Linked DNA regions of Arabidopsis thaliana. The protein of the gene in region 1 interacts with the protein of each later gene in a biochemical or structural test. Each region holds a gene or a part of one and is shown in the gene's direction. Other genes may lie near its edges. The genes, in order: WOL and AHP5.

The links.
Region 2: the proteins of WOL (region 1) and AHP5 form a complex in vitro, tested with the Arabidopsis thaliana proteins (one study listed by BioGRID).

Annotation. Positions count from the first base shown.
Region 1 is NC_003071.7:362,305-370,018, reverse strand, and holds WOL (CHASE domain containing histidine kinase protein), read left to right. Parts: upstream 1-1,661; 5' UTR 1,662-2,002; coding exon 2,003-2,064; exon of another isoform or gene 2,065-2,582; coding exon 2,583-3,132; intron 3,133-3,312; coding exon 3,313-3,549; intron 3,550-3,642; coding exon 3,643-3,812; intron 3,813-3,987; coding exon 3,988-4,206; intron 4,207-4,287; coding exon 4,288-4,526; intron 4,527-4,619; coding exon 4,620-4,849; intron 4,850-4,927; coding exon 4,928-5,026; intron 5,027-5,109; coding exon 5,110-6,314; intron 6,315-6,455; coding exon 6,456-6,687; 3' UTR 6,688-7,036; downstream 7,037-7,714. UniProt on the Arabidopsis thaliana protein: Cytokinins (CK) receptor related to bacterial two-component regulators. Also binds the synthetic urea-type cytokinin thidiazuron, a potent defoliant and herbicide. Functions as a histidine kinase and transmits the stress signal to a downstream MAPK cascade.
Region 2 is NC_003070.9:846,023-850,416, forward strand, and holds AHP5 (histidine-containing phosphotransfer factor 5), read left to right. Parts: upstream 1-1,770; 5' UTR 1,771-2,136; coding exon 2,137-2,205; intron 2,206-2,344; coding exon 2,345-2,475; intron 2,476-2,619; coding exon 2,620-2,691; intron 2,692-2,785; coding exon 2,786-2,857; intron 2,858-2,975; coding exon 2,976-3,048; coding exon of another isoform or gene 3,049-3,105; exon of another isoform or gene 3,106-3,156; coding exon 3,157-3,213; 3' UTR 3,214-3,599; downstream 3,600-4,394. Other genes in the region: 2A6 (2-oxoglutarate (2OG) and Fe(II)-dependent oxygenase superfamily protein), read right to left, coding at 1-552. UniProt on the Arabidopsis thaliana protein: Functions as a two-component phosphorelay mediator between cytokinin sensor histidine kinases and response regulators (B-type ARRs). Plays an important role in propagating cytokinin signal transduction through the multistep His-to-Asp phosphorelay.

The DNA of each region.
Region 1 (7,714 bases):
ATCCAATTCACGTTAAATCTATCTCTTGCTCTTGCTTCCTCCAAAAAAAAAAAAAAATCATTCCCAGATCCATCGATATGAAATTGTATAGAAAAAATGGTATTCGATCCAAGTTTATTGTCTTCTATTTTTCTTAGGTTAATTTCACTTTATTCCAGATTCATTGTTTGTTTTTTCTTTCTCGGAAGAGCACAATGTGAGTTTCACTGGCCTCTGTTATAAACATATATAGAAATCTGTAACAAAAATCATTACTAAAATTCTGTGACATGTGCAGCGATCAAAGAATCAATAGCGGAAAAAGAAACTACACTGCATTCATCTATGACTGAAAGCTTCTGATCAAGCCATGAAATTAAGGTATCCCAAACACGTATCTTCTCTATGTTTATCAATCTTGCTTTAAGTTCTAATTCTGCATATTTCAAAGGAACCATACAAGTGTTCCTAAAATCCATTTGAATATTCAAAAACTTCTCTCAAATATCATGTAGTTATAGAAGCTACTGTCTCTAAGCGCACGAGAGAAAGCTACACAACCCACGTCAGTTTCCATCTACACATATAAGGTAATAATAATATTTTCATGTATCTTTAATAATAGCTCTATGTTTTTTTCTGTATTTTTCATTATAAAACTCATAACTATGTTATCATTTAATATGGTACTAATTTAATGGGATTGATTTACTATTGCCTCAAACATGTAATAATTTAATGATTTTTTGTTTTTAACGTTTTTAGAAATTCATGAGCATTTTAAATTTGTGGTTAGGTCATAACAATTTGCTATTACAAAAAAAAGAAACACTCTAAATAATATAAAAAATAGTTTACCGTATAATACTAGTAGTAAATAAATAATTTGATTGTTATTCATAAATTTTGAATTCTAAAATCTCCTGAATCAACTCATGCAATTGTCTTAAGAATTACACGTGGATAAATCATGGGCTTATGAGTCAGGCCCATTTAACCGGGGTATTTTCGTAGTTAAGAGACTAGAATGGTGGGTATTTCAGGTAAAAGGTCTATGGGGCCAGATCTGCGCTTTGTCGCGATGTCATTATCGCCAAAGATATGCGATAGCGACTCTCGTACAAAGTCTCTCACTCACCTATATTTTTTGTTTTCTTATATTTCAACAAAAAAACGTTTTATTTTCCTTTTGGTGTAAGTAAAAAAACAAAACAAAACGTTTTATTTCTAAAGTTCAGAAAACTTATTTATACCAAGGAAAAAATAGATAATAAATTTTGAGAAGTTGGTGACTATATATTACTTCACTTATTCAAGAAATTTAAACATGGTAAATGTTACTTTAAATGTTAAATGATGTATAAGAAATGTAATGAAATTGAATAAATGTAGTTTTAAAGATGTTTTAATTAGTAAGACAAACCTAGTTAGTGTCACAATAATTATATTTTTTTTTTTGTCATCCAAAATTATTAAAGCTCAAGTAAACCAATCCTGAGGGATATTATTTACAAATGTGATATGATGCGGTTCGGTGCGGATCTTCCGCGCCAAATTATACGCTTTTATATTAGCATTATAAAAAATTATAGATAAAGAGAAGTTTGTGAATTCTTCATTGTCGCTTTGCAATTTCTCTAAATACACAGTAAATACCGACAATTCGGTTAGAGAAAATATATCTATTTCGTATAATAATGTTAACTTTGAGGAGATTTTGGGTAAAATAATAACTTTTGTTGGATGGATCATATCATGAGCCATTAAGAAAAAGTCCAAAACTTTTCTTCTTCAAAGTTGGACTCAAGTTAGAAAAAGAAAAAAGAGCTAGAGAGATATAAAAATGAAAAGAAAGTTCATGGCAAAAAACTGATATAGACAGAGACACAGAGAGAGAGAAACGTATCTGAAGAAAATCTAAAAAATTCGATTCAATTTTTTTCTTACTTTTAAAAGCAAAAAATCTCACTAAAACAAAAGAAGAAGAAAGAAGAAAGAAAATGGAATACCTACATTTGAAGTGATGAGAAGAGATTTTGTGTATAATAATAATGCAATGTTCAATCCTCTCACAACTCATTACAGGTAACTAAAATAATTTCTCCATGTGCTTGCTTATTAGTCGTTCTTCCTAATGTTATGTTTCTCTCTGTGTTCTTTCTTTCTTTGGTCAAAGCTTTAATTTTTTTTCTATTGTTGGATTTGAGACAGTGAACATAGCTATGTTCTTGTTCCAATAATAAACAATCACGCCTGTAAAGAGCTTATGATTGATTAGTGTGTTTTTTAGTATTAATTAATTTCTCTGACAATAATTACTTAGTTTTTAATTCTTCTCTGTAAGAAACCTTTGGAAACTGAGCAAAGTTGCTTCTTTTGAGAACCATGCGTTTCTTTCTCTCTTTTGTTCTTGAATTCGCAAAAACATGTCCTTTTTCGTCTACAGGTTTCTAGGGTTTGTTTCTGTACTATAAACTATGTTTATGGTAACATTCTTAATCATAACTACACTACCAATGCTTTTATGTTATATGTATGCAAAAAAGGCTCTAACTTTTGTTTTCTTTCACTATTGTTTCTTCTTTTGTTCTCTATTGTTGTAGCTCAGATATGAACTGGGCACTCAACAATCATCAAGAAGAAGAAGAAGAGCCACGAAGAATTGAAATTTCTGATTCCGAGTCACTAGAAAACTTGAAAAGCAGCGATTTTTATCAACTGGGTGGTGGTGGTGCTCTGAATTCGTCAGAAAAGCCGAGAAAGATCGATTTTTGGCGTTCGGGGTTGATGGGTTTTGCGAAGATGCAGCAGCAGCAACAGCTTCAGCATTCAGTGGCGGTGAAGATGAACAATAATAATAATAACGATCTAATGGGTAATAAAAAAGGGTCAACTTTCATACAAGAACATCGAGCATTGTTACCAAAAGCTTTGATTCTGTGGATCATCATTGTTGGGTTTATAAGCAGTGGGATTTATCAGTGGATGGATGATGCTAATAAGATTAGAAGGGAAGAGGTTTTGGTCAGCATGTGTGATCAAAGAGCTAGAATGTTGCAGGATCAATTTAGTGTTAGTGTTAATCATGTTCATGCTTTGGCTATTCTCGTCTCCACTTTTCATTACCACAAGAACCCTTCTGCAATTGATCAGGTCAGTGTGTGCTTTATTAAAAGCTCAAAGCTTTGGTGAAATTTTTGATTCATAAATGCAAAGTTGACTTTTTTTGGAACCAGAAGTTTTTGAAATTTACTCTTTTATGTTTGGTTATTGAGTAAATGAAGGGAAATTTAGGCCTTTGCTTTACTCATTGGTTTGTGGCTAATTTTGCAGGAGACATTTGCGGAGTACACGGCAAGAACAGCATTTGAGAGACCGTTGCTAAGTGGAGTGGCTTATGCTGAAAAAGTTGTGAATTTTGAGAGGGAGATGTTTGAGCGGCAGCACAATTGGGTTATAAAGACAATGGATAGAGGAGAGCCTTCACCGGTTAGGGATGAGTATGCTCCTGTTATATTCTCTCAAGATAGTGTCTCTTACCTTGAGTCACTCGATATGATGTCAGGCGAGGTAATATAAACATTATCAGACACTTATGGTTTTGTTTTTTCGGTTAAGTATCCGACCTGCACCTCTTCTGAATTTTGGCTATCTTTTCTGCAGGAGGATCGTGAGAATATTTTGCGAGCTAGAGAAACCGGAAAAGCTGTCTTGACTAGCCCTTTTAGGTTGTTGGAAACTCACCATCTCGGAGTTGTGTTGACATTCCCTGTCTACAAGTCTTCTCTTCCTGAAAATCCGACTGTCGAAGAGCGTATTGCAGCCACTGCAGGGTAAAGTTCCCATCTGATTACTGGAGCAAACTTTTGCTTGTGATCATGTAAAAAGAGATTTTCGAGATTTCATGATTGGTTTATGTGTGTGATCATGTAAAGGAAAGAGGTTTTTTGAGATTTCAAGATTGGTTTGTGTGTAAAGTAAAGATTGATGCTTGAATTTGAAATGCAGGTACCTTGGTGGTGCGTTTGATGTGGAGTCTCTAGTCGAGAATTTACTTGGTCAGCTTGCTGGTAACCAAGCAATAGTTGTGCATGTGTATGATATCACCAATGCATCAGATCCACTTGTCATGTATGGTAATCAAGATGAAGAAGCCGACAGATCTCTCTCTCATGAGAGCAAGCTCGATTTTGGAGACCCCTTCAGGAAACATAAGATGATATGCAGGTACCACACAGAAAATCTTAAAGCTAAAATACTCTCTGATATCTAAAAACTGATATCTTGTTTGAACAATTTCGAGTGCAGGTACCACCAAAAGGCACCAATACCGTTGAATGTGCTCACAACTGTGCCATTGTTCTTTGCGATTGGTTTCTTGGTGGGTTATATACTGTATGGTGCAGCTATGCACATAGTAAAAGTCGAAGATGATTTCCATGAAATGCAAGAGCTTAAAGTTCGAGCAGAAGCTGCTGATGTCGCTAAATCGCAGTTTCTTGCTACCGTGTCTCACGAGATCAGGACACCAATGAATGGCATTCTCGGTACTACATCTTCAAACAAATTCCAGTACTGTTGCCTTTCATCTTTGGTTTCTCAAACTGCCTCAAAGATTCTGTTTTAAAAATTTTCTGCAGGAATGCTTGCTATGCTCCTAGATACAGAACTAAGCTCGACACAGAGAGATTACGCTCAAACCGCTCAAGTATGTGGTAAAGCTTTGATTGCATTGATAAATGAGGTTCTTGATCGCGCCAAGATTGAAGCTGGAAAGCTGGAGTTGGAATCAGTACCATTTGATATCCGTTCAATATTGGATGATGTCCTTTCTCTATTCTCTGAGGAGTCAAGGAACAAAAGCATTGAGGTAAGTTTTCAATCCAAGGAATAAAGATACATCTATTTGGAGTTGTGGCTGCTAATTTCTTGATTTCAAATTTGGCAGCTCGCGGTTTTCGTTTCAGACAAAGTACCAGAGATAGTCAAAGGAGATTCAGGGAGATTTAGACAGATAATCATAAACCTTGTTGGAAATTCGGTTAAAGTTAGTCCCTATTTCAATCTCTGCCTTTGTTGGCAGCTTGTGTATATGATTTTTGTTTGATCAAGATGTTGTCTTTTTGACAGTTCACAGAGAAAGGACATATCTTTGTTAAAGTCCATCTTGCGGAACAATCAAAAGATGAATCTGAACCGAAAAATGCATTGAATGGTGGAGTGTCTGAAGAAATGATCGTTGTTTCCAAACAGTCAAGTTACAACACATTGAGCGGTTACGAAGCTGCTGATGGTCGGAATAGCTGGGATTCATTCAAGCATTTGGTCTCTGAGGAGCAGTCATTATCGGAGTTTGATATTTCTAGCAATGTTAGGCTTATGGTTTCAATCGAAGACACGGGTATTGGAATCCCTTTAGTTGCGCAAGGCCGTGTGTTTATGCCGTTTATGCAAGCAGATAGCTCGACTTCAAGAAACTATGGAGGTACTGGTATTGGTTTGAGTATAAGCAAGTGTCTTGTTGAACTTATGCGTGGTCAGATAAATTTCATAAGCCGGCCTCATATTGGAAGCACGTTCTGGTTCACGGCTGTTTTAGAGAAATGCGATAAATGCAGTGCGATTAACCATATGAAGAAACCTAATGTGGAACACTTGCCTTCTACTTTTAAAGGAATGAAAGCTATAGTTGTTGATGCTAAGCCTGTTAGAGCTGCTGTGACTAGATACCATATGAAAAGACTCGGAATCAATGTTGATGTCGTGACAAGTCTCAAAACCGCTGTTGTTGCAGCTGCTGCGTTTGAAAGAAACGGTTCTCCTCTCCCAACAAAACCGCAACTTGATATGATCTTAGTAGAGAAAGATTCATGGATTTCAACTGAAGATAATGACTCAGAGATTCGTTTATTGAATTCAAGAACCAACGGAAACGTTCATCACAAGTCTCCGAAACTAGCTCTATTCGCAACAAACATCACAAATTCGGAGTTCGACAGAGCTAAATCCGCAGGATTTGCAGATACGGTAATAATGAAACCGTTAAGAGCAAGCATGATTGGGGCGTGTCTGCAACAAGTTCTCGAGCTGAGAAAAACAAGACAACAACATCCAGAAGGATCATCACCCGCAACTCTCAAGAGCTTGCTTACAGGGAAGAAGATTCTTGTGGTTGATGATAATATAGTTAACAGGAGAGTAGCTGCAGGAGCTCTCAAGAAATTTGGAGCAGAAGTGGTTTGTGCAGAGAGTGGTCAAGTTGCTTTGGGTTTGCTTCAGATTCCACACACTTTCGATGCTTGCTTCATGGATATTCAAATGCCACAGATGGACGGGTAACTAAATCACAACTAATACTATTTTTGGATTATTCGGTTTTTGAATTGTTCGGTATGAAAAATTTCCCGCCAAATTATAACTGACTTGGTTTGGTTCGGATTCGGTTAAAATCTTTTATAAACTTCATTGATTCTCAGATTTGAAGCAACTCGTCAGATAAGAATGATGGAGAAGGAAACTAAAGAGAAGACAAATCTCGAATGGCATTTACCGATTCTAGCGATGACTGCGGATGTGATACACGCGACCTACGAGGAATGTCTGAAAAGTGGGATGGATGGTTACGTCTCCAAACCTTTTGAAGAAGAGAATCTCTATAAATCCGTTGCCAAATCATTCAAACCTAATCCTATCTCACCTTCGTCGTAATCCAATCTTCCGGCGAGTTTTTTTTCTCTCTCCGCAGCCGGAAGAGTGGACCGATTCTGCTGATTGATATGCATTTTGGTTTCTGTACATACAGTAGGTTCACAATCTAGAGATTTTGAAGGTTTTTTTTTCTTTCACCGAAGTAATGTAGCTTGCCATGACTAGTGTATGTTGTTAAACGACAACGTCTAAGACGACGGTTCAGTGTTGATCTTAGCGTAAGTATTAATCCCACGGGATCGTTTGTACTGTATCAGATTTGGTTAGTCGTTTAAACATTGTAATGTTCTAATAATAACTTTTCCATATATAACATCTTCTTATAACTTGAGACGAGACCATTTTGATTCATCTTTTGAGCTTGTTTAGCAACCAAATCGGTTAGCTAGTTGAACGAAGATCAGAGAAAGAGCTCAAACAACTCTTCATTAGCTATAGCTCAGTCGACGACTTGAGCTTTCAAACAACAGAAACAGAGCAAAGCTTAAAAACGACTGCGTTTTACTATTGGTTCGTCGATCTCACTAAACCGAGTGAGATAACCAAAGCCAATCAACAACCCTTTAATCGGATCTCTCGATGTAATCTATAAAGGATGAGAAGAATTAGGAACTTGTCCAAGAAGAGTATATAGAAAATATCTGACTTTTTGTTTGTTTTTTATATACTCTATCGACTTATTTTATCAGTTTCAGTAGGAACGCAACGAAATACTACAGAATGAATTTCTCCCGATTTAGGTAGAATTGGATCACCACACTGTTAGGTTCTAATTTGAAATGCCTTCCGACTAATACCAAGGATAATCATACCGTCTGCATTTCTAACTACCAAATAAATTAATTGGACCAAATCACAACTGAGAGACTTTCTAAACAAATTTGTTATTGTTTTCATGAAAAATCAAACTCAGGTATAGGAGTTAAAGTTTCCTTGTGCCACTACACCAAAGAGGTTTGGACAAATATCTGATTTTTAGAATTATTGAGAATTTAAGAAATGATTGAAAAAAGAAGTAAGTGAAATA
Region 2 (4,394 bases), on another chromosome or scaffold:
ATTTGCAGCCTTATTACAAGTGTGGAGATCGATGTTGCTGTAGTAAAGCACATCTCTAGTGTGATCCCTAGAGTAGAACCGTTTCTTCACTTCCGGGTCCTGCTCGTGAAACCTGCGAATCCCTTCTTTCATCCTCTCCATCACCTCCACCGAGATCCCATGATTCACCACCTGGAAGAATCCCCATCTCTCCGCAGCGTCTCCAATCTTCTCCACCACGCTCCGCCGCGATATCAAATCCATGCTTCCTCCTTTCAGATCCACCGTGGGGATCGTCAGCTGCTGCGAAGGTGGTGCTGTTTGTTTCAGGCTTGTTAGAGTATCCGGAGGTGTATGGAACATGGCTGGAATCTCTTTGATTCCCGAAGCCACAAGCCCTTTCACGCCGGTTTTTGTCTCGTCGAAAGCTTTTGCTTGACTTGAACGATCACTTGACTCCATCTTGCTTCTTCTTTCTTTTTTTTGCAATGCACAGATTTGCATAAGTGCTATTATTCCACATCTTAATGCACATCTTAATACAATTAAATAACAAAAGGAATCGTGACCCATATTAAGATAACAAATAAAGAAATGAATCGCCAAAAACAAGGTCCATTAGTTTATTTCAATTCCTATATTAAAATTTGGATTCTTAATTGGTCGTTTGTCTTTACAAGTAAGAATAGCATCCGGTTTGAACTTTTGTTAATTAACTACACACTTACCATATTAAATCTCATCGCCATTGTTGCTCGCCTAGCTCTCGAAACGCCACTAATTAGCAAAACAACATTTAAAGATATCTCGTTTGGAGGACTTTGGACAATCGTTCCGCTACTGTTCATTTTCTCTCTCTTTGAAGTTTTTTCCAGTTTTTACAGATCTAGTTTTTTCTGCCTCTGTTCTTCATCTTAGGTTATGAATTTGCAAGACAAAGCAGGAGTAAGGCAAGCTATCTTCTCCGGCATTGGAGTGGTGTGGTTTTTCCGGTAAGCGTGGCAGCGGTGGCCCTTTCTCGGTGGATGAGAGGCTTCTCTTCCGTTTCTTCCTGGTTATGGACGTCGGTGGAGATCGGTGAAGTCTTTCTTGGTTCAACCACTTGGTTAGACGCTGTAGCTGTGGCGGAAGACGCTGTGGATTGGTGGGTTTTCAGTGCGTGTTTGATGGTTAACAAACTGGATCTGAGATGGCTGTTGCGGGTTCCGGTTGCTGAAGGGTTGTCTGAGCCATCACCCTTCTTTAGCCTCCGTTTTTTGTCTCCATCAATCCGGATTGAAGGTTGCTTTGCTTTTGGAAAATTTTCAGATCTAAGGTTTTGGAGGTCAGAGGCTTGGAAATGCGTGGTCGTTTTGCGAGGTTGGGGACTCGACCAAATTGGGTGGCGGAGTGTCGGAAACTGGGTTTTTTCCGTTAGGTTTGTTGCAGGTCCGGCCAGCTCATTGGTAAGAGATTTGCGGCAGGACTCGTATACTTCGGCCAATGATCTCGTTCCGGTGGTTGTGTTGCAAAGTAGTGGGCCTTGTATACGACGGTACTAATAGATCTATTTGCTGCCTCCGTTCCACTGCCCAAATCCACCTCTGGTTCTCTTTTTCCGGTGACCGGATTTTTCCTGTTTTGTAACTGTGGACGATTGTAATTCCGGGCCTAAGCCCAATTGGGACTGGACCTTTTTTTTTAAAAAAAAAAAAAAAAGATATCTCGTTTGTGGAGAACGCATGCTAGCAACTTCCCTATCTATAAAATCAGATTTGCACCCCACAAACTAAAATATTATTTACGTACTTGATTAATTCCTACAATATAGTCATTTACAAAAATAACCCTCCATTTGATATTTAAGTCAAAATCAGTCAACGGAACGTGGAATAAATTATAACTTTCGACGCTCCGATCAGATTCATCATCATCTCTCTCTGTGTCGCTCCGATTTTGAATTTGGAATCTCTTAGTTAAGTTGGAAGTTTGTTCTTTGGTCTTTTCGCCTAGTTGTTGTTGGATCTGTTTTAAATTAAGCCAAAAACCTCCGATTAGATCGATCTCGGAACCGTCGAAATACAGTTCACCGTATCCGTTGTTTGTTTTTGGTATATGTATGTTTGAGAAGCTCTTACCATCTTTGTTTACAAGTCTGGTTCTTGGTAAACTTTAGCTATGAACACCATCGTCGTTGCTCAGTTGCAGAGACAATTTCAAGACTACATCGTTTCTCTTTATCAACAGGTTCGTTCCTAACCAAACTTTTCTTACTTTGGCTGGATTCTCACTTTTGGGCTTAGATAAGCTTAAGGTGCAGTTATGTGTGAATTTGAATTTTTTTATTTTTTTTATAAAGATGATATAATATGTTGTTGTTTTGAAGGGATTTCTGGATAATCAGTTCTCAGAGTTGAGAAAGTTGCAAGATGAAGGAACCCCTGATTTTGTAGCTGAAGTTGTCTCTCTATTCTTCGACGACTGTTCCAAGCTTATTAATACCATGTCTATATCCCTGTAAGCTTTGCTTACTCTCTTAGGCTTCTCTTTTTTATCTAACATGGGACTTTGTCTCTAATCCTCCTTCATATTCATTTTTGAGGGTGTAAATTAGCTTCATATATTCATGACAGCATTTTATGAGTTTATTATAAACATTAGGGAGCGGCCAGATAATGTGGATTTCAAACAGGTGGATTCAGGTGTTCATCAACTCAAGGGTAGTAGCTCCAGGTTTGTCACAGTGAACACTGCTAAATTTGCTTTTCTAGTTTTAAGTGACCAAACTACATTGATTTTAATGGCTCAGTCTCTGCTTTGTACTCAGTGTCGGTGCAAGGAGGGTGAAAAATGTGTGCATATCTTTCAAGGAATGTTGCGATGTTCAGAACCGTGAAGGGTGAGTATATTTTTTAGCTTGTTGATGCAAAATGTTATTGGATCTCTAAACTTTTTTATTATATGAGAAGCTATTCTTCTAATTCACACACAAATTGTGATAATGATATCTGGCACAGGTGTCTAAGGTGTTTACAGCAGGTGGATTATGAATATAAGATGTTAAAGACTAAACTTCAGGATCTCTTTAATGTGAGTTTTAAACTTTGCGAAAACCTACTTGTTCTGCTTGTGTATTCTTTTTACTGAGCCTTTTGCTACTTCTCATTCTTCTGTTTCTGTTATGTTATGTTGTTGCAGTTAGAGAAACAGATCCTCCAAGCTGGAGGTACAATTCCTCAAGTGGATATAAATTAGACCGATGCGTTTCTCGATTATGCAAATGTTCAAGGCTGATGACACAAATGAAACCGAAACTCCTCTGTAGTTTTGTTGTTGTTGTTATGTTTTATATTGATTAATGAGGTTCAGCAACACTGTCCCTGGCCAGATATCGTGTCTTGTTTAGACTCTTAATTGAGTTCTAAGAGTAAAAATTGAATTATTAGTCTATAAATAGACATGTCCATATGTATTCCTGTCACAATGCAACCACCATTTGGAGCCTTTGTTCTGACCATCATGACTTAGAATTCTCAGCATTATTCTGAATCTGATATACTCTATTGGATTCATGATTTTGATTTGAGCCGTAAAGCATGCGGGTACTAGTTAGCACTTTAGACGATTTCATTATGTGTGGATTAATCAAGAATGATTTGTTTGAATTATGGATAACACGATTCCATGGTCTCTTTATTTTGTTAACGGTATTCCATGGTCTCTTTTATCAACATTATTGTTATAGGGCTTATAAGACATGATTGTGACAATAGATTGAGAAAGGATTGGGCATGTCTTGTTAGGTATGTATTTAATATAATGTCCGAATTACCTCAAACTAGGAATGAAATAAAAAGAAAATGTCGAAGAATTATCAATAGATTGTTTATAAGTGGAATAAAAAATGTGAAGCCATGTGTCTATGGTAATCACTAGGTGGAGCATTTTTTTTTTTTTAAAGGAAGAGTATGTGAAGTGAAAGAGACTAATGAAACATAAATTGAAGGCATGGAGGCGTGTAATGTAACAAATAATAACAAAGCTTTTCTCCTCTATCCTTCATTTTATCATATCCATCTTCATCATTTTTATTTCTCTCAACCAATGTTTTTAAAATAATTTTGTAATATCCTTATAACATGGTTGGTTTTAGGGTTCTTCATGAAACCGATTCAAAAGTCAAAGCAAATCTTATATCGGTTACTATGTGATCTTACCTTCTATGGAGAGAGGATTCGACGACACACCAAACAAACACAAGAGTCCCAAAACGAGTGCGTTAATTGTCTCGTAGTGCGGACCATCTTAGGGTTTAGACCTTTTTAATTTTGTTCATTATGATTGGAACGTATTGCTTTGGCTTTCTTGCAAAGCCAAGTTTTCTTTTCATAAATCTAATTTGGTCTACTCATCACTACCTAGTCTCTCTTAGAATG